Callithrix jacchus: one gene and its partner. The protein of the gene in region 2 interacts with the protein of the main gene of each other region in a biochemical or structural test. Links are inferred from orthologs where the notes say so. Each region holds a gene or a part of one and is shown on either strand. Other genes may lie near its edges.

Region 1 (15,483 bases), on a different chromosome or scaffold from region 2:
TCCCAATTCAATTACTTCCTTGTTTATTTATGTTTAGACAGGATCTCGCTGTTACCCAGGCTGGAGAACGTTGGCGTGATCAGAGCTCACTGCTGCCTCAACCTCCCAGCTCAAGCAGTTATCCTACTTCAGCCTACTGATTAGCTGGGACTACAGGTTCACGCCACTGTGCTCCGGTACTTTTTAAACTTTTGTATAGATGGGGTGTGACTATGTTGCCTAGGCTGGTCTTGAACTCTTGAACTCAAGCAATGTTCCCTCCTCCGCCTCCCAAAGTGCTGGGATTCCAGCTGTGAGCCCTGGCACCCAACTACCTCCTAAGTAGATTAGATTTAGTTTCTACAATCTGTTTGGTTTATTTACTTACATGTTTTTTTAGAGGGAGTCTCATTTATTGACGGGGCTGGAGTGCACACATGATCTTGGCTCACTGCAACCTCTGCCTCCCAGGCTAAAGCAATTCTCCTGCCTCAGCCTCCCAAGTAGCTGGAATTACAGGTGCACAGCACTATGCCCAGCTAATTTTTGTTGAGAAATATTAAGTTTATGAATATTGATGAATGCTGAGTGTATGATAGAATGTATTGTTTGCTAGGAAAAACGATGGCAAGGAAAACCTAAGCGCCCCCACCAAGTGGAAAACTACTTGGGGCGTTCGAAAGGGGCAGGACAATGTATAAATATCATACACTGTTTAAAACAATTCTTCAGCCGGGCGCAGGGGCTCACGCCTGTAATCCCAGCACTTTGGGAGGCTGAGGCGGGTGGATCACAAGGTCAGGAGATCGAGACCAGCCTGGCCAACGTGGTGAAACCCCATCTCTACTGAAAATACAAAAATTAGCTGGGTGCGGTGGCACGTGCCTGTAATCCCAGCTACTTGGGAGGCTGAGGCAGAATTGCTTGAACCCGGGAGGTGGAGGTTACAGTAAGCTGAGATCCTGCCATTGCAGTCCAGCCTCCCGACAGAACAAGACTCTGTCTCAAAAAAACAAAAACAAACAAAAACCACGATTGTTTTTTTCTTTCCCTCACCTGTCCCCCAAAAGCCACAATTCTTTAAGATATCCGACCCTTCCCTCCTGGGGAATACTTTTTAGGTTGTCTGTGATCCGCGGTAAGTGGGCACCAGCTGCCTGCTTAGCGTGTTTTGTTAGGAGAAAATACTGAACACCTGTTTGTCAATGAGGCTCACCTGATCAGGGAGAATAAATGCCGGGGTCGGTGTCTACTCGGGGCTTTCTGACCCTGAAGGCTGTCAGCTCCTGAGGCTCTCCATTCGGAAGGTTGCTGGCCCTCCAATACCCCCACCTTGCTGTTCTGTCTGGGTGTTTGCCTCTCAGTTCCTTCACCGTTGCTTGGGTGGGGGTCTCTCCGGCCGAGCCGGTACTCAGTCTTTTGGATTTTTAGCGGAGACGAGGTTTCACCACTTCGCACGGTCTTCTCGAGAACTCCTGACCTCAGGTGATCCTCCTGCCTCGCCTCCCCAAGTTCTGGGATGCCAGGAGTGAGCCACGGTGCCCAGCCTACAATCTTTTAGAGCCAGGAAATGCAATCAACTGTGGCAATATATTGCTATGTATTGAAACGTATATACACAAACACATAGAACTGAGATGCTTTAACATGCAGCTAACACCAAACTCAGTTTCACAGGTATGCTTACCCAGGAAACGACTCCATTTATCTAAGTGCCAAAGGGAATAACTGTGTCTGTGTATCTGCCTCTCCCCATCTATCTCTGTGCATCTTACGTAACGGTGGAGGTGGTTTGTGAAGGTTGTCGCAAAGGATCTGATTTAAGATCTGCTAAATTCTGCCCTAAAACAGGCTTTAAATTGGTTGTGTGGGGATTTTCCAAAGCCTCCCTCTCTGCCTTCTTGGCTGTCTACCCCCTAGCAGTGCCTGAACTTGTTCTGTATTCAGCTTTTTTTTTTTTTTTAATGGAGACTCCCTCTGTCGCCCAGGCTGGAGTACAATGGCGTGATCCCAGCTCATTGCAAACTCCGCCTCCCGGGTTCAAGCGATTCTCCTGCCTCAGCATCCTGAGTAGCTGGGATTAACAAGCATGCACCACAACGCCCAGCTAATTTTTGTATTTTTGGATAGAGACGGGGTTTCACCATGTTGGCCAGGCTGGTCTCGAACTCGTGACCTCGGGTGATCTGCTCGCCTCGGCCTCCCAAAGTGCTGGGATCACAGGTGTGAGCCACGGCGCCCGGCCCTGTAATTAGCTTTTGATGGTGTTTGCCGTTCATCTCCTGGAACGTCAACTCCACGAGAACAGGGAATTTTGCCTGCTGTCAGCGCTGTGTCCAAGCATCTCTAACAGGGTATCGAACCACAGCCTTCAGCCCTCATCTAACTTGACACTTGTATTACTGTTTTTGAGACAGTCTTGCTCTGTCGCCCAGGCTGGAGTGCAATGGCACCATCACAGTTCACTGCAGCCTCCAACTCCCGGGCTCAGGCCATCCTCCTGCCTCAGCCTCCCGAGCACGTGGGACTGTAGGCGTGCACCACCATGCGCGGTTCAGGTCTTACTTTTGGCAGAGCTGCTGCTGCTCAGTCTGGTGTAGAACTCCTGTGTTCACGCGATCCTTCCGCCCGGCTCTCCAAAAGTGCTGGGGTTACAGGCATGACTCATAGTCCCCAGCCTTTTTTTATCTTTTAAACCTTCAAACAAAAGCGTAGTAATAATAATAATACCATGACATGTGAAAATACATAAGATTGGAGGCCCCCCCTCCACAAAAATAAATAAATAAATAAAATAAAAGATTGGAGGCCCGGGCAGGGAGATCATGAGGTCAAGAGATTGAGACCATCCTGGCCAACATGGTGAAACCTGTCTCTACTAAGAATACAAGAATTAGGGCCGGGCACAGTGGCTCACACCTGTGATCCCAGCACTTTGGGAGGCCGAGGCGGGCGGATCACGAAGCCAAGAGATCAAGATCACCCTGGCCAACATGCTGAAACCCCGTTTCTGTTAAAAATACAAAAAAATTAGCTGGGCATGGTCGTGGGTGCCTGTAGTCCCAGCTACTGGGAAGGCTGAAGCAGGAGAATTGCTTGTACCTGCAGGCAGAGGTTACAGTGAGCTGAGATCGTGCCAGGGCACTCCAGCCTGGGTTACAGAGTGAGACTCTGTCTCAAAAAAAAAAAAAAAAATTACCCGGGTGTAGTGGTGCACACTGGTAGTCCCAGCTACTTGGGAGGCTGAGGCAGAAGAATCACTTGAACCCAGGAGGCGGAGGTTGCAGTGAGCTGAGATAGCACCACTGCACTCCACCCTGGCGACAAAGTGAGACTCCGTCTCAAAACAACAACAAAAACAACAAAAACAAAAATAGGATTGAAAGAGCAAAACTTCATCTCAAAAAAACAAAAAACTAGAAAATACTGCCAGATTCTCTACAGAAAACGTTTGCAAATCCCTGAACCAAAACCGTGCCTTGTATACAGTAGGCGCTGGAGAACACAGAGCGATCATTACTTGCACGTCTTTTTCATGTTTTATTTTAATTGTGAGACAAGGTCTCTTCGGCCCAGGCTGGAGTGCAGTGCCACAGTCACAGCTCACTGCAGCCTCAACCTCCTGAGCAATCCTCCTGCTTCAGCCTTCTGAGTAACTGGGACTACAGGTGTGCACCACCACATCCAGCTGATTTTTTATTTTTTGCAGAGACAGGTCTCACTGTGTTGCCCAGGCTGGTCTCGAACTCCTGGGCTCACACAATCCTACCAGCTTGACCTCCCAAAGGGCTGGGATTATGAGCATGAGCCACTGTGCCTGGTCATTATTAAACCACTGTCTTCATCTGCATCCAGCTGTCTCCAAAGGCATGTTGGATGCAGATGAAGACAGTGGTTTAGGTTGGGCAGGGCAACTCAGACCTGTAATCTCAGCACTCTGGGAGGCCAATGTAGGAGGATGGCTTGAGGCCAAGAGTTCGAGACCACCCTAAGCAGCATAGTATCACCCACCCCACCCCCCAAATCTATAAACAATTTTTTTTTTTTTTAAAAGCCCAGGTGTGGTAACTCATGCCTGTAATCCCAGCATTTTGGGAGGCCAAGGCAGGTACATCACCTGAAGTCAAGAGTTCGAGACTGCCCTGGCCAACATGGCAAGACCCTGTCTCTATTAAAAATACAAAAATTAGCTGGGTGTGTTGGCACGCACCTGTGATCCCAGCTACTCAGGAGACTGAGGCAGGAGATTACAGTGAGCAGAGATCATGCCTCTGCACTCCAGCCTGGGTGACAGAGTGGGACTCTAATAAAAAAAGAAGAAAAAAGTGGCTTGGCCAGGGCCTGAGCAGGCGGTTCCCATCTGATCCTGGCTTTCATCATCAGAGAACTGGGGTCAATGGGGAAGCAGCTAACATGGAAACGCCTTGGTCTGGCAGTTTCTACAGGCAGGCTCAGCAATTTTTTTTTTTTTGAGATGGAATCTTGCTCTGTTGCTCAGGCTGGAGTACAATGGCACGATCTCAGGTCACCGCAACCTCCACCCTCCAGGTTCAAACAATTCTCCTGCCCTGACCTCCCAAATAGCTGGGATTACAGGCACCAACACGCCCTGCTAAATTTTGTATTTTTACTAGAGATGGGGTTTCACCATATTGGCCAGACTGGTCTTGAACTCCTGACCTCAGGTGATCCACCCAAAGTGCTGGGATTACAGGCCTGAGCCACCGCGTCTGGCCAGTTGTGTAAAATGTTATCACTGGGGGAAGCTGGGAGAAAGGTGCACAGAACCGTCTACTACTTTTGCAACTTCTTGTGAATCTTAAACTTCACCGAAACACACACAACTTATGATTTAAAAAACCGGGCCAGGCACTTTGGCTCACACTTGTATTCCCAGCACTTTGAGAGGCCGAGGCAAACGGATCATTTAAGGTCAGGAATTTGAGACCAGCCTGTCCAATATGGTGAAATTCCATCTCTCCTAAAAATACCAAAAATTAGCCGGGTGTGGTGGTGTGCGTCTTTAATCCCAGGTACTCAGGAGGCTGAGGCAGGAGAATTGCTTGAACCTGGGAGGCAGAGGTTGCAGTCACCAAGATCACACCACTGCACTCCAGCCTGGTGACAGAGCGAGACTCTGTCTCTTTTTTTTTTTTTTTTTTTTTTTGAGACAGAGTCATACTCTGTCGCCAGGCGCCAGTCTCGGCTCACTGCAACCTCTGCCTCCCAGATTCAAGCAATTCTCCCGCCTCAGCCTCCCGAGTAGCTGGGATTACAGGCACGCGTCCAGCTAATTTTTTGTATTTTTAGTAGAGACGGGGTTTCACCATGTTGACCAGGATGGTCTCGATCTCTTGACCTTGTGATCCGCCCACCTCGGCCTCCCAGAGTGCTGGGATTACAGGCTTGAGCCACCCCACCCGGCCAAGACTCTGTCTCAAAACAAAAACCAAACCCTATCCCCAGCAGAATCGACAGGGCCAGAATTAGGGTGAGATGAGACTCACATGTGCCATGGCAGAGCTCTATTCTGTTGTCAATGAACAATTTCAATAAATTTAAGGACCTTAATTGGCTTCACTGCAATTTGCTATACTTCATTCCATAAAATAGGGTAATTGTTCCAATCAGTTGGGCAGAGGAGGGTGGCTCTATAGACAGAGAAAGGCTGAAGAGAGTAAAAGCAAAGAATAGGTTGGACGCAGTGGCTGATGTCTATAATCCCAGCACTTAGGGAGGATCGCTTGAGCTCAGGACTTCAAGAGCAGCCTGGGCAACTTGGCAAAGCCCCGTCTCTGCAAAAAACACAAAAATTAGGCCGGGTGGAGTGGCTGTAATCCCAGCGCATTGGGAGGCCAAGGCAGGCGGATCACGAGGTCACGAGTTCAAGACTAGCTTGGCCAACATGGAGAAACCCTGTCTCTACTAAAACTACAAAATTAGCCGGGCGAAGTGGTGCATGCCTATAATCCCACCTACTTGGGAGACTCAGGCAGGAGAATCGCTTGAACTTGGGAGGCGAGGTGCGGTGAGCCGAGATCCCGCCATTTCACTCCAGCCTGGGCAACAAGAGCGAAACTCCGTCTCAAAAAAAAGAAATTCCCAAAATCAGCCAGGCATGGTGGTGTGCACCTGTAGTCCCAGCTACTCGGGAGGCTGACAGAGGAGGATCACCTGAGCCGGGCCAGTCGAGGTTGCAGTGGGCCATTGTCAGTAGCCTGGGAGACAGAGACCCTATTTCCAAACAGCAGCGGCAAGGAATGTGTTAACTCATCAGTGACCATAAGTTGCTTAGAACCTGAGTATGAGCAGCTGCCTTTCGTTTCTTCTGGTCTGTGGGTGCTCAGCGCAAGAGCTTAGTCCAAGACTACAGTCTCCTTTAATTTCGTTGCCGAGGCTGGAGTGGCATAATCACAGCTCACTGCAGCCTCGAACTCCCAGGCTCAAGAGATCCTCCCATGTCCTGAGTAGCCGGGACCACACGCATGCACCACTGAATTTAACATTTCAGGGCGCAGTGGCTCACGCCTCTAAACCCAGCACTACAGGAGGCCGAGGTGGGTGGATCACCTGAGAACAGGCGCTTGAGACCAGCCTGGCCAACATGGTGAAAACCCATCTCTACTAAAACTACAAAAATTAGTCGGGCATGGTGGTGCATGCCTGTACTCCCAACTACTCGGGAGGCTGAGGCAGGGAAACTGCTTGAACCCAGGAGGCAGAGTCCACTGCACTCCAGCCTGGCAACAGATCTTGTCACTCTGTCTCAAAAAAAAAAAAAAAAGGAGGCCATGCCACGGTGGCTCATGCCTGTAATCCCAACACTTCGGGAGGCCGAGGCAGGCGGATCACCTGAGGTCAGGGGTTCAAGACCAGCCTGGCCAACATGGCGAAACCCCGTCCGTACTAAAAATACAAAAATTAGCTAGGCGTGGTGGTGGGCACCTGTACTCCCAACTACTCGGGAGGCTGAGGCAGAAGAATTGCTTGAACCTGGGAGGTAGAGGTTGCAGTAAGCTGAGAAGACACCATTGCACTCCAGCCTGGGCGACAAGAGCTACATGGTGACAACTGTCTCTGCAAAAAAAGAAAAAAATTTATTATTTCATCCATCATGAACTTTTTTGCCTTTTTTTTTTGAGACGGAGTTTTGCTCTTGTTACCCAGGCTGGAGTGCAATGGCGCGATCTCGGCTCACCGCAACCTCCGCCTCCTGGGTTCAGGCAATTCTCCCGCCTCAGCCTCCTGAGTATCAGGGATTACAGGCACGCGCCACCATGCCCGGCTAATTTTTTGCATTTTTAGTAGAGACGGGGTTTCACCATGTTGACCAGGTTGGTCTCGATCTCTCGACCTCGTGATCCACCCGCCTCGGCCTCCCACAGTGCTGGGATTACAGGCTTGAGCCACCGCGCCCAGCCTGATTTTTTTTTTTTTTTTTAATATTAAAAGTATTGGACTCGCCAGGTGTGGTGACTCCCGCCTGTGATCCCAGCACTTTGTGAGGCCCAGGCAGGAGGATCATTTAAACCCAGACGTTCGAGATCAGCCTGGACAACATAATGAGATCCCGTCTCTACAAAAACTAAAATAAAAAATAAACTGCACTAAAATAGTTGATTACTGAAGTCTGAACTTAAATTCTACGGGCACTAGGGAGCCAAGGAGCGCTTTGGAATCTGCAGCTGGTGCGGATTCCAGGGTTTCCCAAGGGTGGGAAGCAGGATGGGAGAGGGCGCCTGCAAAGAGGTGAGAGCTGCACGAGCTCCGCGGCATTTGGGAGCCGCGGTCCCGCTTTTCTCCGCCTAGCGCCAGCCAGCAGGGTGCCGAGCCCACGCCCCATCTGCACGCCAGGACCCGGATGTGCAGCGCGCGGGGCGTCGGGGCCCGTGGAGCGTGCACCGCGGTGCGCTGCAAGGCGTCGCACTGCACGCACTGGCGGTCGTTGCGGCGGAGCAACCGTCTCCTCCCTGACGCCGCCGGGAGTCTGGATACGCACCTGGCGGAAGAAGCCGCGTCACCTGGCCGCATTGTGGTCGCTGCCACTGCCCCCCTCCCTCCTTCCTTCCTTCCCTCCCTCCTTCCCTCCTTCGAGGCGACCCACACCCGTCCCCACCTGTGCAGAGCTCGTACCCCTTTAAGGAGTCAGACGCCGCCAGGGGTGGGCGTGGTCGCCGCGAGCTAGAGAAGACGAGGGAAGGAGGGAGGGGCTGGTGTAGGGCGGACCTGATTGGCCCTAGGCCCGGGCGGCGGCCGCGCGCGCCTGCGCAGGACGCAGCAGCGCCCGCCGGCGGCGGGAGGAGCGCGCGCGGGTGCTAATTGGCCCGGGCGGCGGCCCCGCCCGCGAGTGGTGGGAGGTCACGTGACGCGACGGCTGGGGGCTCCCGGCGCGGGGGACGCTGGTGGCCAAGATGGCGGCGGAGCTGGTGGAGGCCAAAGTGAGTGAGCGGCGGCGGCGCCGGCCGGGGCAAGTGGGCGAAAGGGCGGGGGCCGGGCCGCGGGTCCAGGTCTGCGCCTTCCGTCCGGGGCCCCACAGCGCGGTCCGCCCGCGGCTCGCCGTCCCGGCCCCCAGACCCCGACCCCAGGGCTCAGGGTGAGGGCGGGGGGGCGGGGAGGCCGGGGGCGGGGCCCTCCTGCCTCACCCGGGTCTTCGCGCCAGGGGTCGCTCCCCCAGCTTCAGGCAGGGTTCCCCCACCCAGCCGGAGCCTTTAGGGTCCGGGTCCCCAAGCGCCGGGCCAGGGCCGCGCCTCCCGGTTCAGGCAGCGTGCCCCCGGGCTGCGGGATGGGTTGAGCTTCTCGTTGCCCTCTTGCTTCCGAGCCGTAGTCCCTGGTATTTGTCCGGTTTGTGTCGGGAGGAGTGTCTGCGCTTACCGGCCCGGAGGGCTCCCAGGACTGGTGTCTGGGTCTTGTCCCCGCCCAACAGGCCAGGCTGGGGTTCGCGAGTCCTCTGCTCCGAAGGGTCCCCTCAGTCCCGGATAGCGTCCTACCGCCGTCCAGGTGGAGAAATCAGGGCCCTGAGACCACCCCAAGACACAGCACGTCCTCTTGGGGGCTGGAGCCGGTCTTCAGCTGCTGCATTGGTCCCAGGACCCCGCCCCCTTCCCGACACGGTTTCTCAGACACCGGAGTGGACGCTGGGGGAACGCTGGGCTCTTTACCCTCGCCATGGGATGGAGTCCCAAACGCTTGTCTTGGTTAGAAACCTTCCTTGCTCGCCCCTTTTTAAAAACAAGTCTGACATCCTGGACCTGTGTCGTTCCCCGCGGGGCAGAATCTAAGGTTACTGGTTTTGCTTCTCGTGGTTCTAAGCCTCACCTGTGCAGCCTCAGATACTGTCTCCAGAGTTAGCCGCTTCTGTTTCCTACTCTTGAGCGAGTCTGCTGCGAAGATCAGACTCCCTTTCTCCCTGCACAGCCCCCAGCACCTGTCTGCACCCCAGCTTTGGTTTCTGAGGTTCCTTGTCTTTCTGCTTATACTCTTTATTTTGATCTTTGGAGGGTCCCCACTGGGTCCGAGGCCGGCCTCTTTAGAATAACTTCGGCTGCTTCTCTGTCACGGTCTGGGCCCTGTCCAGGTCCCATGTCCGGTAGGTGCCGTCTCCTTCTAGCTTGGAACACCTTTTAATCGTCCTGAGATGGAGCTCAGAGTATCCCCGTTCCTGGGGATGTACCTTCTTGTAGGTGGCTACCTAGAGCTGAGGATCGTCTAAAATCTTCAGAAGTGTCGTCAAGGCCACTGCTTCCAGGGAGGTTAGGGGATCTCTCCCTCCCTCACCCCACTTTAGGTCTTCCCCGCCGGGGTCCTGACCTGTACGTATTTTCTTCCCTCATCACCCGCTGGGATCTGAAAACACAGCCCTCAAGGTTCTGTGATGATAGCATCCAATCCTCTTACCCTTCCAAGCCTTCACTCCGCACGCACTTCTGCCGCTCCCTAGAGTTTTGCAGAGTGGAGACACCCTGGAGATGTGGAGGCCTGAACTCTGTAACCCCAAGGCGGCAGGCTCTGGGCTTGAAGTTCCATGGAGACCTCGCAACTTGGAGCTGTGACCCTGGACCCCACCCCCACCCTGGCTGAGGGCAGGGTCTGCACTCTTTCGTACCATCCAGGCCTTGAAATACGATCTGACGAACTTTTCCTTGACCCTTTGGTGGCTGGTACCCACCCCCGCCCCCCAGTTAAATCAAGTTTGCCCCTTCTTTCAGACTCTCTAAATTGCGAGCCTCCATTCAAGGGGGTGGGACCTTGGGGGGCCGCCTTTCTCCTTGAGTCCGTTTCTATCCCTCCAAATGCCTTAAGGGTCATCGAAACATCCCCTTTTTTACAGGGGCTTTCCCCAGCCTGTCATACTCATGGCTGCAGATTCTGCTTTTGGGGTGCATCACAGACTGCTCGGAGGGTTGAATGGTGAGGGCTTGTTAATGAACTTTGAAATCTGAGACCCTCTGCTTGGGGTCTGGAGGCGGGTTTTGGGGCAGGGGTGTCGTGAAATAGTCCACAGCGTTTAGCACAACACACATCTCTGTTCTCCTGGAGAGGGGCGCCTTCCTGAGCTTCCCCGGTGCTCCGAGGGCCCCGTGCTGGAGGAAAGGTTCAGCGCAGCTGCTGTCTCTGGGCTGCTGTCTCCCCACGAGGCTTCCCGGCAAGCCTGGAGTTGAAACTCGGAAGGGCCTGGGCCTGGCGCTGTTTATAAACACAGCTTTGAGGGCAGGTGGGTCAGGATGAAGCCAGGGCAGGAAGTGATCTCGGGGCATTGGGTGCTTCTTCCTGAATTCGTGTCCTCCTGCCCCCCTCCAGTGTCCAGGGCAGGCTCCTCCGAGGTGGCAGCTGCCGGGAAATCTGAATCGTGAACATATGGCTGCCTAAGGGGTGTGCTCCGGAAAGCAGGAGCTGCAGCTCCACTGTCCAGCCTGGGCAGGGCAGGGGCTCCTGGGGTGCCAGGACGTCAGCGGGTTCCCAAGCCCACCTGCCTTCGGCCGGGCTGCCAGTGCGAAGTGTCCACATGACATCGCCTCTCCTTGCTAAGGCCTGGGCAGCTTCCAGAAGAAACATCTTGTCCGCAAGCCCTTTTGTTTTCTGCATGAGGTAGGAAGTCAGGCCGAGAGGGATGAGGCATTTTTGTTTGCAAAGCCTCGCTGACTCAGGCCCAGCAGACCACGCAGGTCCCCGTAGCCAGTGTGCTGGTGAGCGAGGGTCCCCTGGGCCTCGGACGGGAGCACTCTTGGGGGCCCAGGGGCCGATGCCACCTCCGTGCTTGTGCTAGGGAGGCTGTGGGCCAGCTGCTTCCCTCTGTGAGCCTCGGTTTCCTCACCTCCATGATGGGTGTGGTCATTGTGAAATTGGCGACACGGGAAGGCCCTGCTGGTGCCTGGCAGGGAGCAGACACTTGTGTCCCTGATTCTTTACAGTCTCGGGGTCACGCATCCCTGATAGGGAAGAGGGTTCTCCTCAGGCTCTTTGGGCAAGACTGGGCCACCTGCACATGCGTCCCTGTCGTTTTCAGCCTGGACAGCCTCTCCGTCTCCAGCAGGACCCTGGGCCGGTACAGCTGGAAGAAATGTCAGCTGGCAGATGAGGATTCCGCCACTAGGCCGGGGCTGCTGCAGCCTTGCTGCTAAAATGTGCTGCTGGGCTCCTGGCCTCACCCTTGGGTAGCCGGGAGCCGGAAACCCCTGTGCCTCCTGGCACGGAGGCTGCGGTGCAGACTGCCCAGTGAGGCTGCCTCTAGCTTCGCCCCTCAGGGTCTTTCAAGAGTAGTTTGAGGGAGTGATTTCCTCGGGTGCCCGTCAACTTTCCTCAGCACCCTCGGCACCAGCTTTTTCCCATTCCTTCCGGAAGTTTCTCCTTCCCACGTCTCATTCATCCCAGGCCAGCTTCCGGGCCGAGGGTGTGTGGCCCCGACACCCTGCCAGCCGGCCCTCGAGGACACCTGGCTTCTGCGGCTTGTTGAGGAGCCCTCCTTCCCCTTCAGAGTCCTACCCCTCATGGAGGGGGGCCAGAGCCAGGCTACCCCCAGTCAAAACCTAGGGTCAGCTGGGCTCTGCTGTTGCTTTTGATTTCACTGCAGGGCTCCTGCCGGGAGATGAGGACCACGTCCCGCAACAGCCCCGTGGCTGCTGCCCTCCCCTCAGACTAGACCCCCAGGGGGAGTCTGGGCAACATCTGGACATGTATTTGGTTGTTATGAATTGGGAGGTGCTTAGCACCCTACAGTGCCCGGGACGGCCCCAGCGTCCACAGGGCTGAAGGGGAGAAACCCCACACGGGATGATGAGCAGATGTTTTGGAGGTCCCTGAGTTGACTTTCGGAGGTCCCTGAGTTGACGTCCGGAGGGTAGTGTGGGAGCAGGAGCCGCCCCTGGTGTCAGAGCCAGGCCTGGGCCTGAATCTTGTCACTGCTGCCCCTAAGGCGGCAGTTCCTCGTTTGTGACAGAGCTTGCACCAGCCAGCAGAGGTGTTAGAAGGGTCAGAGTTAAATATGTAATCACATGACCGGCTCGGTTCCCGGCAGGTGATTAGTGCTAAGTAAACTGGCTGCCGTCGGCGAGACCCAAGGGAAGTGTGTTTGTGGCCGACGGGGGTCGAGGCCTGCCCAGCCGTGCTTTCTGTTCTTATCGTCCCGATGAAGAGACTGAGGGTCAGAGAGGCACTTGGCATTTGCTGGCTAGGCACTGGCAGAGGGGGTTTAAAGCACGATTCCCAGTTCCTGCCCCAGGGATACTTTCAGGCCGAAGACAGGGGAAGAGAACCTAAAATAGAAGGGGGGCCTAGTCAGAGGTGCTTTTGCTGCGTTGGCGGTGCTGGGGAAAGTTTGATGAGGAGGGAGGGGCGAGGCTCTGCTGGGGGGGGGCACCGTAGGGGCAGGGCACACCACCGCCCCCGCCAAGGCTGGTGCTTCCTGGCGAGTGGGTGTTTCTCAGGCCCCCGTGTCGGGGCCTGGCCTCCACGGCACCCCCTGCCTCGGCAGCTCTGGCCTCTGAGAGTGTTTGTCTGCTTGCTTTCCCTCAGAACATGGTGATGAGTTTTCGAGTCTCCGACCTTCAGATGCTCCTGGGTTTCGTGGGCCGGAGTAAGAGCGGACTGAAGCACGAGCTTGTCACCAGAGCCCTCCAGCTGGTGCAGTTTGACTGTAGCCCAGAGCTGTTCAAGAAGATCAAGGAGCTGTACGAGACCCGCTATAAGAAGACCTCGGAGTCTGTGCCACAGCCGCACCGGCCCCTGGACCCCCTGACCATGCACTCCACCTACGACCGGGCCGGCGCCGTGCCCAGGACTCCGCTGGCGGGCCCCAATATTGACTACCCTGTGCTCTACGGGAAGTACTTAAATGGACTGGGACGGTTGCCCACCAAGACCCTCAAGCCAGAAGTCCGCCTGGTGAAGCTGCCCTTCTTTAATATGCTGGACGAGCTGCTGAAGCCCACTGAGTTAGGTGAGTGGCCGCCGCCCCGGGTAGGCTGCGCCCAGAGGTCTCGCCGAGGCCCGCCCAGCCCAGCGACGTGGCTGACCTCCAGGGAGGTCCTGTGTGGCGCAGCCAGGGCGGGGAGCCACAGTGGCAAGGGTGTTCTTCCCGGGAAGCAAAGGGACCATCTTTGATATTGTTCACCCCTTGGTGTGTTACACGTTACCCGCAGTGGAGTGGCCGGAAGCAGTGGCTGTCTGTTAGGTTCACTGTGGGACGTTGGGGCACGGGGCTCTCACAAGACTCAAGTCAGGCTGGAGCTACCTCATCTGGAGGCTCGACCGGGGCTGTAGCAGCCACATCCTTGTGCGGTGTCTGGCAGGCCTCAGCTCCTCGCTGGCTTTTGGCCACAGTCCCCAGGTCCTCACCGTGCAGCCCCCTGTGTTGTCTGCCTTGTGGCTGCCTCGCCCTGGCCAGTGAGTGTTGCCCACCAAGCTGGGAGCTGGAGCCCTTTTTATAAGCCAACCTCAGACGCCTCACCGCCTCCCGCACCGAGTCCATTGCTCACACAGATACTGTGGCGCAGGCAGGGACCACACCAGGCTGTGATTGCCGGGGCCATTTGGGAGCCTGGTTTCCCTGCTTATTCCCCATGGAAAGGGTGCTGGACAGGGGCATCAGCCTTCCCTCCTTTCCCCAGGCTGTGGCTCCTTGCCTGCAGCCTGCACGAATAGCCTTGGTCAGCGGGCTCAGGCCACTGCCAGGCTGCAGGAATGTCTGCCTCAGCCATAGCCCTGAGCTCAGGGCCAGGGAGGCCTGAGCAGCCCCAGCCCCCAGGGCAGAGAGAGTGCAGCCTCTGGGGCTCCCAGATAGTGAGCAGAACCTACGCCCTGAGGAGCTCTGGTTTACAACCGGGACCCTCCGTGCCTGGAGACCTCTCCGTTGCTTCTTCTTCCTGCCTCCCCTCCCCTGCCCCCACTCTTTCCTTCATGCAGTAAACATCAGAGTGCCTGCTGGGTGGGTGCATGACGGGCACCAGGCGTGGGCACGTGGCAGGGAACGGGACCAAGGCTGCAAGGTTCAGAAGCCCTGTACACGCCCCTCCCACCCTGCTGACCCAGCGAACTGCCTGGCCCCTGCTGTGGCCTGGGGGCCCCTCTCTGGCACTATTCAGTCCACTGGGTGCCAGCTGGCCCCCCTCACCCCTGCTTTGGGAGGTGGGGTTGATGGGGTGGGGAGAGGGGGTATTGGCTGCCTTTCCCCTCCCGCCTACAGACCTGGGACTTTGTGAGGTTAGGCTGGAGGGGCTGAGCTTCCTGGTGACAATGGAGGAGGTGGAGGAGGGAGAAAGGCACTGCCAGTGGTTCCTGGGCAGCCGGGGCTCCGCCCTCCAGCCTGAGGCTCCGCCTTCCCAGTGAGGCTCCGCCCCTACCTTTCTCCTGGCGGGAGGTATCTAGCACAGCCTCCCACAGAGCAGGTTGGCCCAGCAGCACCTGTCCTGGGGGACTCAAGGCCTTGGCCTGAGTTCCTTCAGGCTGACTTTCTGTGCCTTGCTCCCTCGTGAGGGAAGCCATTCTCCATGCTGGGTTCTGGGGCAGAGCCGGCTGTCTCTGAAGGTCAGGTCTTGAGAGGGACCCGCGTGGCAGGGAGGCTGGGCTTTCCTGGGAGCGGCAGGGCCAGCTTGGTGCAGGGTGGGGGAACGGCTTCCTTCCTGCACGGGGACCAGTCGCTCCGCCCTACAATGCTTCGCTGTGCCCTGAGCCCCCAGGGACCCCGGTCACCTGATCTCCGGGAGAGCCTGCTCCCCTGTCTACACCAGGATGACTCTGCTGGCGGCTCAGAACAAAGAGGCCAACCCCGCCCTGCCTCTCCTGCCCGCTGCTCCCACCCATCCCAGGGCCTTGAAGGGTGCTTCCCTCCGGTGAACCCTCTTCCCTGGACTCCCATGCTCTCGGAGGGGCCCCCTGGGTTCTCAGAGCATAGATTGGCCCTGAAGCAGTGGTCCGCATGGTTTGAGGACCTGAGATGCCATCCGCATGCCCACACTGACCCTGGGCTGTGTCCCTCCCCAGGTGCCCTCTCTGGTGCTGGCGTTGCTGGGG
Region 2 (14,844 bases):
CCTGCTTCACCTTCCTGAGTAGCTGGGATTACAGGCATGTGCCACCATGCCTGGGTAATTTTTGTATTTTTAGTAGACACGGGGTTCAAGGTTGTTGGCCAGAGTGGTCTTGAACTCCTGACCCTGTGATCTGCCAGCCTCAGCTTCCTGAAGTGCTGGGATTACAGGTGTGAGCCACTGTGCCTGGCCTAGTAATTTATTTCATGGCCAAAAACAAAATTGTAACTAAGACATGGTTAATTTAGTTGAACAATCTAAAAATTTGATAACAAATCTGACCTGATCTGTCATAATCATTATCTTCCCATAACGAAGAGTCTTCAATGAATCTTCATCTTCATAGTTTTTCTTGTACTGAAGACCCACAATCTTGATTATATTGTTAATCTCAGCATTTTCCATAATCTGAAATGGACATATATACCAAAAAAAGTAACGTCTTGTTTATACATTTGAAAAGAACAAAGAAATATAATAGTATATGTTGCTTGGATTTTCTTGAGCTCCAGTATTTTGAGCTATTATTAGCTTATATACTAAGTCAGAAAGGTCTGTTAAAATAGGCTACAAAGCCACTGACGGAGCAAAGCGGAGGTGCCGGTGGGCGGAGGGCCCACACAGGCTCAGTCTTCCTGGTCGACAGTGGTGACAGCAGCCCAGCCTGCCAGGGTGTCGTTGCTTTTCCAAGTCACTCTTCTAGGATTCGTCGGTGAGTGGCATGGCATGTGGAAATCAACGAGAACTTGTCCGTCACAAAAACATGAAGAAAACCCAGGAAATTATCAAGGGAAAAAGAAAAGAGGATAGCTTGACTACCTCTCAGAGAACGCAGAGGGATTCTGAGATCATGCAACAAAAGCAGAAGGCAGCTAATCAGAAGAAGTCTATGCATACAAGAGAAAAATGATGACTGGCTATTTGGAAAACCTTGGTGCTACTGCCAACTGGATGTATCATAAGTTCTAAGATCAAGATTTTGTACAGTGGACAGTCATTACATATGTTTTAACATCCTTTAAAAACTATTTTGAACTTTATCTTTCAGATTGACATAGTGCAATAGCAGTCTTCAAAGAATAAAACACTACCTGCATGTGGTGTTAAAAAAGATAGGCTACAATGTACCCAATGTCTCAAAATAATCACAAATTGTGTGATTATTTTGAGTCACAAAATATCTTTCAAAAGCCCAATGAGGGAAAATATAAGCATAAAGTCTTCCATTATAAACTAGATTTAGATAGTTTTATATTCTACCTGCTTATGAGAAGCTTCTCGAACATTGAGTATTTTTCCTCTAAGAGGGAAAACCCCATATCTGTCTCTCCCAACCACACCAAGGCCTGAAACAGCCAAAGTTTTTGCTGAGTCTCCCTCAGTCAGGATAAGCGTACACTCAGTGGAGTTTCGACCCCCTAAAATAAAAATACACAAGTTAATATTAGCACATTTAGTTCAACCTCAAATATACTAATTTGAACATACTGTTTATAGCCTTGTGATAAAACACAAATAATTTACAATATATAACAAGTAAATTTATTTGTTAGGTAATAGATCATAATGTAAACATTCTTGTTTTATACTCCAAAATAATAACCTCAATATTATTTATAACAAGCTAAAATTAAAAATGGCCTAAATGTTCCATAATAGGAAACAGGTTGTTATTTTTTTTAGACAGAGTCTCACTTTGTTGCCAGGTGCCAGGGTGGAGTGCAGTGGCTCGATCTCGAATCACTATAACCTCTACCTCCCGGGTTCAAGCAATTCTCCTGCCTCAGCCTCCCTAGCAGCTGGGACTTCAGGACCATGCCACCATGCCCAGCTAATTTTTGTATTTTAGTAGAGACAGGGTTTCACCATGTTGGCCAGGATGGTCTTGATCTCTTGACCTTGTGATACACCTGCCTCGGCCTCCCAAAATGCTGGGATTATAGGTGTGAGCCACCACGCCCGGCCACAGGTTGATTTTTAACAAAGTTATTCTGTTGAATATAGTTATTCTGCCAAGGGAAAAATAAATATCCATGGTATAATACTGTTAACGAATAACAACTGTTAAGACTTAAAGTTTGGAAGTATTATTAAATACATACCTGCATCATTGGCATCATCAAGTTTGGGAATTCCCTTGATTCTGTTATGTTTTACAGCTGAACACTTCTTGTTTAACTGGACTTGGGCCTTAAACTTCACCCAGTTTAGTATGCTTTCTACAATACCACAGCCAATTGCCTGAAAATGAGAAGATTCATATTAGGGAAGAAGGGTTCTATCAGAAACGTAGAATACAAATGAACCTTAATAAAAATAAAAATAAGCTGTGCAATGTGGATCACCTGTAATCCCAGCACTTCAGGAGGCCAAGGCGGGCAGATCACGAGGTCAGGAGTTTCAGACCAGCCTGACCAACATGGTGAAACTCGATCTTTACTAAAAATACAAAAAATTAGCTGGGCATGGTGGTGCGTGCCTGTAATCTCAGCTACTCGGGAGGCTGAGGCAGGAGAATCACCTGAACCCAGGAGGTGGAGGTTGCAGTCAGCTGAGATCACTGCCACTGCATTCCAGCCTGGGTGACAGAGCGAGACTCTGCCTAAAAAAAAGAAATAAAATAAGTTACAGTGTAAGTGTTATGGGTAACAAAAAGTTTGCTACATGACAATAAAGTATGATCAATATCATTTTGGGACCAATTTAGCTGGGAAAAGGGTAAAAAGTAAAGGCTTTCCTGAGGAATGGACAAGATCTAAAGTAGTCAGCTAGGTGAAAAGGATGTATTTCAGGCAGAGGGATTAGCATGTGAATAAACTCTAGGGAGGGGAAGAGCACTATGCTTTTCAGAAATTTAAAAAGCAACAGGACAATATAGGAAAAAGTGGCACTTAGATGAGTTGGAGAAGTAAATGTAATTAGATTAAAGCAGATCTTTCTTGTTGGCCAAATTATGGAATTTGGACTTTTCCTGAGTGAGTCATTGAAAGATTTCAAATTAAGAGTGAAGACAGAAATGTGTGCTTTATTGAACACAAAAAGGTCATTCAAAAGCATTGCAAGAAAAGGACTTAACCAGTAGGAAGGTTAAGAACCTATTATAGTAAACCAAAAAAGAGATAATGGTGAGAAGCTACTGCAGCCTCAGAGATGATTGTTATTGACTGGATAAAGAGAAGGCTCCCAGTTTTCTTGTTTATACACCTAGAGGTTGGTTGGGGCTTTCTACTAAGATAGGAAGTTGTTTCTTTATTGGAGGGTGGGGAGCTGCCTGTACTGGCAAGTCAGTGACTATGGAGTTAATGAATTCAGTTTTGGATGTGTTGACTGAGGGCAAATCTCAGGCATTTAAAGTGAGGGTGTTTAGCAGCTAGATTAATTCAAAAGTGATCTAAGCTTAACGGTGATATGTAATTGGGAAATACTGAAATATAGACAGTAATTAAGTCCTTAGTAAAATCAGATTAAAAAAACCATTGTTTACTTCCTTTTCAGACTGGAAGACTCAGAGAAGTGCACTGTGGGAAGACTCTTTGTTTCTGCAGAGTTGAGAAGCACAATGGAAAATAAAGTCAGGTGCTTTTATTTTTATTTCCCTCTAAGTACTCACAGCTTTGATAAATTTTTCACTTAAATGGCATGTTGATCCAAAGCTCTTGGGTTGTAAAGTCATGTTTTCTTTTGTCTGAGAGTCAAAGGTTGGGTTTTCAATTAAGGCATTTACAAATATCCACATGTGATTTTTCACCTGCAATAGAAGTTGATATTAAGTTACTAAAAATGTATTCATGCTTTATTCATAGCCTTTTTTTTCTCCCTTGACTTTAGAAAAAGAAAACTGCCAAAAGCACATACCTGATGTGCTTTTACTGCAACACCACCCTTGTTCTTCTTCTTTACCACATCAACAAGTTTAGTCACAATCTGATCAGCTACATAATCAACATGTCTGCCACCCTAATAAGGAAAAACACCAAACTGTAAAACTCAGTATCCTCAAAATTTTAATAATCAAACATCAAAAAAAAATAAAACGAATTTAGCCTCCTTTATACCAAGCTAGCCCAATATTCAAGTCCACTTTATATATTAAAAACAGTAAGAACACCTATATGTAAACATAAATCATGATTAATAATTCAAGAATAAAATTACCTTGGAAGTAGCAATGCTGTTGACAAAGCTAATTTGCTGAAAGCCTTTTTCACTCATTGTTAAACATACTTCCCACCTGTGGTTTACTTGTTCATGTATTACTTTCAGTGGGTTACCAGTTTCATCCAACTTGTCCTTCAAATACATGTCCACATAACTACGAAATCCTTTTACCTGTATAAGAATTAAAGGATAATAGTATTAAAAAAGCTATTAAAAATATCCGGAGATAGCATTAGATTTAAAAAATAGGTTGAATGACAGACTATGAGGACTTTTCAAAACCAATGCAATGAATGATGTTCACTGACAGGCTTAAGAGAATGATCATTAAAGAAAGACAGGCCAAGGTGGGTGGCTCACTTGAGCCCAGGAGTTCAAGACCAGCCTGGGCAACACAGTGAGATCCCCATCTCTATTAAAAAAATAAAAAAATTAACTGGGCATGGTGGTGCTGCCTGTATTTCCAGCTACTCCAGAAGCTGAAGTGGATGATTGCTTGAGCCTGGGAGGTGGAGGCTGTAGTGAGCTGTGATTGCATCGCTGTATTCCTGCCTGGGTGATAGAGCAAGAGACTATCAAGAAAAGAAAAAAAAAAGGTAAAATAAATAAATAAAGGACATGAAAGCATTTTAGGTGTTTCTTTGAGAAAGAAATTCCTTCAGTAAATTTAAAATGAGCTGATTAAAAAACGTGGCATACCGGCTGGGTGAGGTAGCTCATCCCTGTAACCCCAGCATTTTGGGAGGATGAGGAGGGTAGATCACCTGAGGTCAGGAGTTCGAAACCAGTCTGGCCAACATGGTGAAACCCCATCTCTACTAAAAATACAAAAATTAGCCAGGCAAGGTGGTGGGTGCGTGTAATTCCAGCTTCTCGAGAGGCTGAGGCAAGAGAGTTGCTTAAACCTGGGAGGTGGAGGTTGCAGCCATTCGAGGTCGAGCCACTGCACTCCAGCCTGGGTGACAGAGCAAGACTCCGTCGAAAAGAAGAAAAAGAAAATGTGGAGTAACATTCTCTTTTCAGAAACATATGTGAGAAGTGGTAAAAAATATATACGGGATGGGCCAGGCACAGTGGCTCATGCCTGTAATCCCAGCACTTTGGGAGGCTGAGATGGTTCAATCACCTGAGGTCAGGAGTTCAAAACCAGCCTGGCCAACATGGTGAAACCCCGTCTCTACTAAAAATACAAAAATTAGCCAGGTATGGTGGTGGGTGCCTGTAATCCCAGCTACTGGGGAGGCTAAGGCAGGAGAATCGCTTGGATCTGGGAGGCAGAGGTTGAAGTGAGCCGAGATTGCACCACTGCATTCCAGCCTAAGCAACATTGCGAGACTCCGTCACACACACACCACACACACACACATACAAAATATATGGGGGGGGCGAAAATCAACTTTGTACTTGACAATGATTACAAAGTCCCTTATTATCCTTAATATCCAGGAAAATACTCACTGGCAGTTTATTTCCATTAAGAAAGACTTTGACATCTTTGGTGGATCCAGCAATATCATATGCTCTTCTGACCATTAGTGCAACAATATCTTTGTCTAGGCTTTTCATTTTAAACTTAGACAAATCAGGCTGAAAGGTGATACATGTATAATCTTCTCCACTAAAGGGCTTGAGTTCCATCTCACCAGCTCTCCCCATATTATCCATCCATGTCTATGGAAGTAAAGAATAGGAAAGATGAAAAATTCAAGTCATCTCACAACTAGTAAATAACATAAATTTATGAGTCCTAATAACCTAATATATGCCTATGAATAATTTTCCATGCTTATAAATTATGTTAAATTAAACCAGCCATTAATGCCATTATAAATGGCTATAGTACTACCATTTATCATTAAGGTAAAAGACACCTATTTACTTGCCTGTTTGAACATTTTCTTGTATTCTCTACAGGCTGTTTCCACAGTAAATTTGGTACTGAATATGTTACACAATTTGGCTCCATAGCCATTTCGACCACCTGGGCAAATAAATATGAAACACTATTTTATTGTTATTATCTCATTGACAGCTTTATTTCCTAATCACTGGCAGAGGTATTCAATTATAGAGATTTATTTCCATATTTTTAACCCTCATGCCACAGATAGTTACTTAAAATATATATATTTTTAGCAACAAATATGTTATTTCCCCTCAATACTCTACCTGTCACTTTTTTTTCATCATCATCATAGTTACTAGAAGTTAGGAGCTGTCCAAATATGAGAGCTGGGACATACATCTTTTCAACTTTATGTTCAACAACAGGAATACCTTTTCCATTATTCCATATACTAATTAAATTGTTTTCCCTAAGAAAACAAGATTGAAAATTGTATTGTACAACACATTAAATGAATGCTCAACATTTAAAAATATTTAAATACAATTATTTCTAAAATATGTATATTCAGGCTGGGCGCAGTAGTGGCTTACGCCTGTAATCCCAGCACTTTGGGAGGCTGAGGAAGGTGGATCACTTGAGGCCAGAAATTCTGGCCAACATGGTATAACTCTGTCTCTACTAAAAACACAAAAATTAGCCAGTCATGTGCACCTAATTCCAGCTACTAGGGAGGCTAATGCAGGAGAATTGCTCAAATCATTGGGATTATAGATGTGAGCCACCACACCCAACCCTCAATTTCTTTGACTCTTTTCATATATACCTTCTGAAATTCAGCATGAACTACATTTCCCACCATGCTTAGTTCCTGACATTCCTGAAATAGGAGTCAAGAGGAAAAAAAAATTTTTCCAACACCTGTGTAGACACTGATAATGTTGAAAAAATATAAAATTTTAAAATGTTAGGATAAACAAAAGGAAATGATTTATGCCCAAGGGAAAGAAAAGGACAATCTGGAAACATTATTATATACCACTCCTACTCCGTTTTTGAGACAGCATCTTGCTCTGTCACTCACTGGAGTGCAATGACAGGATCACAGCTTACTGCAGCCTTGATCTCCTGGGCTCAAGCAATCCTCTCATTTTAGCCTCCCAAATAGCTGCATGCACCACCACACTTGGCTAATTTTTAAATTTTTTGTAGATATGAGGGTCTCACTATGTTGCCCAGGCTGTTCTCAAACGACTCCTGGGCTAGACTGATCCTTGGTCTTCCAAGGTGCTGGGATTATGACTGAGCTACCATGCCTATTATACCCCTTTTAAGAGGATCATCTATACATCTCTTGTTCCCACTCGACAAAGTACATTGCAAAACAAACATAAAATAGAAAAACAGTATCAATCATAAACTGCCTTGCTCTGAAATAAAATGCTGAAAACTTGTTTGGACTTATTTATTTCAGTTATTTTAAGTTAATTCTTGGATGGTAATATATTTTAGTTATAACTAGATATACATTATGGTTCTTATTCCAGAAAGTACTTATTATCTATAAAAAACTAATTAAAACTAGCTCAACGGTTTTTAAAGACTATGACATTGAGTTCTTAGGAAAATCCACGTATACTTTGTCATAATTAATCAGACTAACATCAACAACAACAAAAAAGCAAAATAAGCACCCTGATTGCTCATAAAGGGACACCCAGAAATGTTAGATCAAATTATTATCTACCACCACCTACTGGTTTACTGTTTGAATAGCATCATGAGAAAAAAAACTCCAGATGCCAGAATACTTAAAGCAACTACTGAAGATGCTTGCTCAAATATTTAGGGATTAGGTGTCATAATGCCTGTAATTTATTTTGAAATGATCCGAGAAAATAGCCCAGCTGCCATGGCACACACCCATAATGCCAACACTGGAGGATTGCTTGAGGCCAGGCAACAAAGGGAGACCCTCTAAAAAAAAAATTAAGAAAAAAGTAAAACAAAAGTAAACAAACAAACTAACTAAATAAATAAACTAATTAAAAACATGGACAAAATGTAGAAAAATGTTGACAACTGTTGGATCTAAGTGGTGGGTATCCATAGGTTTTTCATTTTAGCATTCTGCTTGTGTGTACTTTTGTGAACTTCTGTTTAAAAAAAGACAACTTCACCAGTAATCAAAATACATGCAACTAAAATAACAATGAGCTACATAACAAACAAAAGCTAATCAAAAGACGTACGGATCGACTGTGACTCTAATACAAGACATTTTTGGGTCCCTTTGTTTGTTGTCCGCAGCATTAACTGTAAGAAAATAAAATACACATTAGCAAGAAATTAGTGTTTTAAAAAACATTCTATAACTCTAAGATATAGAAAAAAAGTTCCCAACAGTACAAGAGTGGCATTAATAAGCTGTTAATTTAGTAATTTTTGTTCATAGTACTGTTTCCAGGAGAAAGCTCAACTTCCTGGGCTCCAGGAAACCATCTCACCTTTGTTAACTAATTGAAATGACAGGAGCCCTGGCTACAGCAGGCTTGGTAGAAATCATATATATATTTTTTTTTTTTTTTAAACTTTTATCTTTTTTTGATTTTTTTTTTTTTTTTGAGATGGAGTCTCACTTTGTAGCCCAGGCTGGAGTGCAGTGGCGCAATCTTGGCTCCCAGGTCCGGTTCAAGCAATTCTCCTACCTCAGCCTCCCAAGTAGCTGGGATTACAGGCCGGAGCCACCATGCCTAGCTAATTTTTGTATTTTTTAGTAGAGACTGGGTTTCACTATGTTTACCAGTCTTGTCTTGAACTCCTGACCTCGTGATCTGCCCACCTCGGCCTCCCAAAGTGCTGGGATTACAGGCATGAGCCACCGTGGCCTGGCCTTTTTTTGATTTTTATTTGAAATGATACTTCTTAGGAAAGATTTGACTAACAGATCTTTATATTAAAGGATTTACTCACCTAGAATCTCATCAAAGATTTTGTACAAACCAGGAACAAAAGTGACTTCCCTATAGTTAATGCCAATATCTTCATCGTAAACCCACATTTGCTAGAAATAAGGCAAAGAAATACTGTTATTTTTACTCTATATTTATTGTCATGATTACCGTAAAGTCTTCTGTATTAACTATTACCATACTGAGGCCAGTTCCGGTGACACTCAGTACATGAGAAGTACAGAAAGGTCAGCTGGGAGAGTATCCATTTCAACTGCTCGGTGATTGCCTTTGATAAGCTTGATTTTACCTGGGTCACTAATTCCACAGAGCCAATGTAAGTGTCCGGGCGGAGCAAAATATGCTCCAACTGTGTTTTCTTTTGATAGATTCTCTCAATAGACAGTCTTTTCTTAGCATCTTCATTTTTCTTTATTTTGTTGACTTGCATATTTTCATTTACGGGCTAGCAATTAAAAAGAGAGAGAGAGAGAGAGAGAGAGAGAGAGAGAGAGAGAGAGAGAGAGAGAGAGAGAGAGAGAGAGAAGGGGATTTTTAATCGTAAGTCTGCCTAAAACCAGGAACGAAATGTCAACACATGTTGGAATCTATTAGTAGGTAGCGGTGGAGTTGACAGTTTAGTACAAAGAGGACAATTTAAATTAGCTGCAGCCAAGTCCCCAGGTGTCAGGTTAAACACACATGTTATCTCACCAAGTGGGTCGGTCTGTCTGAAAACCTCTTCTCTTGAGCAATGTGGTAGATGTCACCGAAAAAATACACCCACCTCTTTCAGCTCCTGCACGCATTATTTACCGAGTGCCTATTATTATAAACTATTTACGGTGTCCCAAGCACACGGCAGAGTCTAGCTCGGCAGCAGCAGCTTGGGCGGCTATCAGTTCAATCCCTCGGCCACACGAAGGTTCTGAGCTCAGGATAGGGGCGCTTTTGGAGGCCGGCCAGCTGCTCTGGGGAACACTGTGCTAGGCTCTGCCCTTTCCAAGATCGGAGACATTCAAGGCCGTTTTCAAGCAGCGGGCAGGAGGGGAAGGCATCGGTACACGCGACTCAGTAACATCGCGCCCGGGGCGCTGTAGCACGGATCCACTGCGGGACACCGGAATGCGGCCCCTAGACACAGGCAACAAAGCAACGCACCCTGGAAGCCGGTTTAGCCGACACACTTCACTGCTAGCACCGTAAAGGGCTTCCGCCTCTCCACGATCACCCCGGAACCGGGAGGTGGAGAATATGGGCTCCCAAGCGGGTCGCCGGCCGGACAGCAGCCCCAGAGCTTCAACCGTCACGGGCGGCCAGAGAGATGCCCGGGCCGAGCTGAGGCACACCACCGCCAGTCCCTCCCACGAGCCGTACCTGCAAAGGTGACACTTCCATGATGACGGTCGTGAAGGGGCTCGAGACCCCTGAAAGCGACTAAACCGGCAGGACCCACGAAACGACCTCAGACCAAGCCGCCTCTCCTCAGACCGCTGCCCGTCGGTTAGGAGAGCTCACTCGAACCTTCCTTTAGCCCGCCCAAAGCAGACAAGCCAATCCCTGACTCGATCTCGCAGTCTCTGTCTAGAACCACCAATCGTAGCTGGTCTTTTATATCCACCTATCAACGGCTGAGTTGGTCAGGTGTTTGTTCGAATAAACCAATCAAGTAAGGGAGGCGGGACTAGAGAGAGATTTCAAAATGCACCACTCGGCGTCGTAGCGGAGAGACTGACAGGGAATCTGGCTAATAATGAGGGTTTGTTTGTTTTCTCTGGTGGAAATCTCGGCGAGCCGGGCCTTGGAAGCGGGAAGGGGTTTCCTGAGGCAAAAGTGTCCAGGTGAAAAGCAAAGCGTATTTATTCTCCAGGAGCTGACAGTCTATTTAAGATTTCTGAAATCTAAAAACTGTTCTCTGTTCTAAGATTGCTAGGGAGGGGAATGGGAGCCTTAGTTTCGTTTTCCTGAGGAAACTCAGTGCCGGCTTTACAGACAGGCCGCCTGGCTGCTTGGTTGAAGCGAACAGGTTCTGGCGTGTGCCTGAACCCCGCCCCCTCTCCTCTCAAAGAAATAAAGGCGCTGTGGCTCATGCCTGTAATGCCAGCACTTTGGGAGGCCGAGGTGGGTGGATCACTGGAGCCTTGGAGTTGGAGACCAGCCTGGGCAACATAGCAAAACCCCATCTCTACCCAAAAAGAAAAAAAAAAAATAGCCGCTAACCGCAGTTCTGGAGGCTGAGGAGGGCGGATCGCTTGAGCCCCAGAGATCGAGCTGCAGCGAATCGTGATTGCTCCACTGCACTCCAGCCTGAGTGACAGACTGAAACCGTCTCGAGAGATAAATACATAAATAAAAATAGAATAAAAATAATTTAAAGAAGTAAAAGTGCTATAGTTGTGGTTTGGGGTTCCCATATAATGGAAGGATGCAGAATGGAGGGCAGCATTCAGGTTCCCAGTAGAGCAGCTCTGGACTGCAACTGGCAAATTTAAAGGAATAACTTGTGGTTATGGCCTATTGAGCTGAGGGTGGGCTCGGGCTGTCTGGGGCTGAAACCTTTTCGGCAGCCAGCTGGCCAGATGCCCTCTGACTGGTTACTTTTGCACACCTCCAAGAACGCTGCGGTTTAGAACAGCTGTTCCGATTTGACAAGGAAATGCCTAAGACTGAAGGTTTGTTTGTTTTGAGATGGAGTCTCACTCTGTCACCCAGGCTGGAGTGCAATGGCGCGATGTCGGCTCGCTGCAAAATTCACCTCCCGGGTTCAAGTGATTCCCCTGCCTCAGCCTCCAGAGTAGCTGGATTTATAGGAGAGTGCCACCACCTCAGGCTAATTTTTTTGTATTGTTAGTAGAGTGGGGGTTCCACCATGTTGGCCAGGCTGGTCTCGAACTTCTGACGGGCGCTGTGGCTCAGGTCTGTAATCCCAGTACTTTGGGTTGCCGAGGCAGGCAGATCACCTGAGATCAGGAGTTTAAGACCAGCCTGGCTAACATGGTGAAACCTCGTTTCTACTAAAAATACAAAAAATTTAGCCGGATGTGGTGGTGCGTGCCTGTAATCTCAGCTACTTGGGAAGCTGAAACAGGAGAATCGCTTGAACCTGGGAGGCAGAGGTTGCAGTGAGCCGACATTGCACTATTGTACTCCAGCTTGGGCAACAAGAGCGAAACTCCAGCTAAAATAAATAAATAAACAAAAATAAATTTTTTTTAGTGCATTCATTGCCTGGCAAGTAATAAGTGCTCGAGACATGTCAGCAATGACTACCTCTGCTCCTTTCCAGGATCTTCCTTCCATGCTCGTCCCACAAATTCCTTCTCCAAAAGCAGTTCAAAATTCTCCTCTCTAGGGAGTCTTCTCTGACAGTCTTTTAAATTGAACCTCCTCAAGTCGTTCAGTGTATATTTGCATATGCGGATGAGTTCCTTTGATAAGTATTCTTTGGTTGTTTTCTCCTGGGTGTTGTGTGCTTCCCTTCTTTCTGCTCTTTGGAGAGGGGAGAGAGGATCCTGGATGTACTGTGTCCCCTTCATGGATCTGGAAGCTCCCCTAGAAAAAGCAGCATTTCTTCTCTTTTGCAGGCTCTCCCAGCAGAAGGAGGCTGGACTAAAAGTGTGGCTTTGGATTTGGGGTTTGGAGCTGGCTAGGCTGGAGCCCACTGGGAATTTCTGGATGAGGCTGGGCCAACGCCAGAGTACTCAGGTGGTTAGGGCTAGGCCAAGAAGCTCTGTTTACCTTGAGGCTGACAACTGGCAGGTTCTGGTCAGTTTATTTATTTATTTTTTTACCAGGGATACCAGCCTTTAGTTAGAGGAGGCCAGGAAAACCCAAAATGTTCCATAGAGCCCAGCCTCTGGGTGGCCCCTGGCAAATAAATGTGGACAAAGTTGGGAGGAGAGCAAGCGAGGTTACAGAGGGGAGAAGCTCAGGATGAGAGATTAGTAATCCCTAAATCTGCACAGAAGTTCTCTATCCATCAGAAATTTAAAAATGTTCACACCCTGGCCGGGCACGGTGGCTCATGCCTGTAATCCCAGCACTTTGGAAGGCCAAGGTGGGTGGATCATGAAGTCAGGAGTTTGAGACCAGCCTGTCCAATATGGTGAAACCCCATCTCTACTAAAAAATACAAAAATTTGGGCTGGGCGTGGTGGTGCATGCCTGTAATCCCAGCTACTCGGGAGGCTGAGGCAGGAGAATTGCTTGAACCTGGGAGGCAGGGGTTGCAGTGAGCTGAGATCATGCCACTGAACTCCAGCCTGGGCCACAGAGTGAGACTTCATCTCAAAAAAAAAAAAAAAAAAAAAAGTGAAGGAAATACTGTGTGGAGCATAATTCTATTTGGGTAAATAAAATTACATATATACACGCATTGAGAATATCTGGAAGGAATTGTAAGGAGGTAGAGGGAAGAGAAGACTTCCTTTTTTCTTTCTTTTTCTCTGAGACACCTCTGTTTAGTCTCAGCTCTGTTGCCCAGGCTGGAGTGTAGTGGCATGCTCATGGCTCATTGCAGCCTCAAACTCCTGGGCTCCAGCGATCTTCCTGCCTCAGCCTCCTGAGAAGCTGGGACTACAGGCTTGTGCCACCAAGCTTGGCTAATTAAAAAAAAAATTTTTTTTTTTTGTAGGGAAGACGTCTTGCTATGTTTCCCAGGCTGGTCTCAAACTTTTGGGCTTAAGTGGTCCTCCCAGTTCAGTCTCCCAAAGTGTTGGGATTACAGGCTTGAGCCACCACGCCCACCCTTGGGCTGGCTTTTAGATCACTAAGTCCCACCTCCCCATTTTACAGATGGGAAAACCAAGGCCTAGAGCCATAGATGACGGCAATGGGGCAGCAAGCTGACCTGGGGGATGGGGTGAGAAAGCCAGTAATGCCTCTAATATGGTGGGGAATGGGGTCACCTGAACCTGTCACTGTCTCCCTAGCTCTAACATTCCACGTAACATCCTCTGGAGGCATTAGGGTGGGGCCCAGGAAGAGAGGAGTAGGACGGGGTGGAGTGCTGTGTGCCTCTACCCGGCATCCACCTGTTTCCCTGACTATTTCACTTTTTCAGGCTCTCCGCCTTCTCTCCCTCCGCTATCCTATGCCTGTTTACTTGTTTGTCTGGGTAGGAGCTGGGTACTGAGGGGTACACGTCAGTGTGGCCTGAAAGAGCCTAATGAAACTCCCTTTCATTAGTGGGGGTCAGGGTGGGAGTAGGGGCAGGGGATCAGCATTCCAGGTGGCTGACCCCCACCTTTGACTTCGGACTCAGAACCCAGGGGTCTGACTTGAGGAACTGCAGAAACCCATCCTCCGGTCCATTGCCCTCAGAGGGCTCTTGGCTGCTGCTAGGAGCAAGCCTGTTGGGTAGATGTGGGCCCTGAGACTTGGTCAAGCTTGATAGCTACTACCTCATTCCTTCCTCTGAAGAATGAACAAATGAATAAATGCATGGAGAGGAGGAGTTTAGACTGGAATCTTTGATTTCATATCTGTTTCTAAATATCTCCCATCGGCCGGGGGAGGTGGCGTATGCCTGTAATCCCAGCACTTTGAGAGGCCAAGGTGGGTGGATCACCAGGTCAGGAGTTCAAGACCAGCCTGGCCAAGATGGTGAAACCCTGTCTGTACTAAAAATATAAAAATTAGCTGGGTGTGGTGGCGCATGCCTGTAATCCCAGTTACTCGGGAGGCTGAGGCAGGAGAATCGCTTGAACCCAGGGGGCAGAGGTTACAGTGAGCTGAGATTGTGCCACTGCACTCCAGCCTGGGTGACAGAAAGAGACTGTGAGCCACTGCGCCCAGCCTTATTTATTTATTTATTTATTGAGATGGAGTTTCACTCTTGTTGCCCAGTCCGGGCAAAAAAAAAAATCTCTCCCATCTCTCTAAGTTTTTCAT

What was found.
Region 1: of the proteins of TOP2A (region 2) and PIAS4, one has a biochemical effect on the other in vitro, tested with the Homo sapiens proteins (2 studies listed by BioGRID). The link is inferred for Callithrix jacchus from reciprocal best matches to the Homo sapiens genes TOP2A and PIAS4.

What each region holds. Positions count from the first base shown.
Region 1 is NC_133523.1:3,755,083-3,770,565, forward strand, and holds the start of PIAS4 (E3 SUMO-protein ligase PIAS4), read left to right. Parts: upstream 1-8,365; 5' UTR 8,366-8,390; coding exon 8,391-8,417; intron 8,418-10,774; exon of another isoform or gene 10,775-11,064; intron 11,065-12,987; coding exon 12,988-13,411; intron 13,412-15,483.
Region 2 is NC_133506.1:92,846,691-92,861,534, reverse strand, and holds the start of TOP2A (DNA topoisomerase 2-alpha), read right to left. Parts: upstream 10,479-14,844; 5' UTR 10,351-10,478; coding exon 10,330-10,350; intron 10,087-10,329; exon of another isoform or gene 9,667-10,086; intron 9,419-9,666; coding exon 9,263-9,418; intron 9,066-9,262; coding exon 8,975-9,065; intron 8,318-8,974; coding exon 8,254-8,317; intron 6,471-8,253; coding exon 6,325-6,470; intron 6,137-6,324; coding exon 6,039-6,136; intron 5,827-6,038; coding exon 5,614-5,826; intron 4,327-5,613; coding exon 4,153-4,326; intron 3,955-4,152; coding exon 3,853-3,954; intron 3,746-3,852; coding exon 3,608-3,745; intron 2,239-3,607; coding exon 2,100-2,238; intron 1,416-2,099; coding exon 1,258-1,415; intron 955-1,257; exon of another isoform or gene 596-954; intron 406-595; coding exon 280-405; intron 1-279. UniProt on the Homo sapiens protein: Key decatenating enzyme that alters DNA topology by binding to two double-stranded DNA molecules, generating a double-stranded break in one of the strands, passing the intact strand through the broken strand, and religating the broken strand.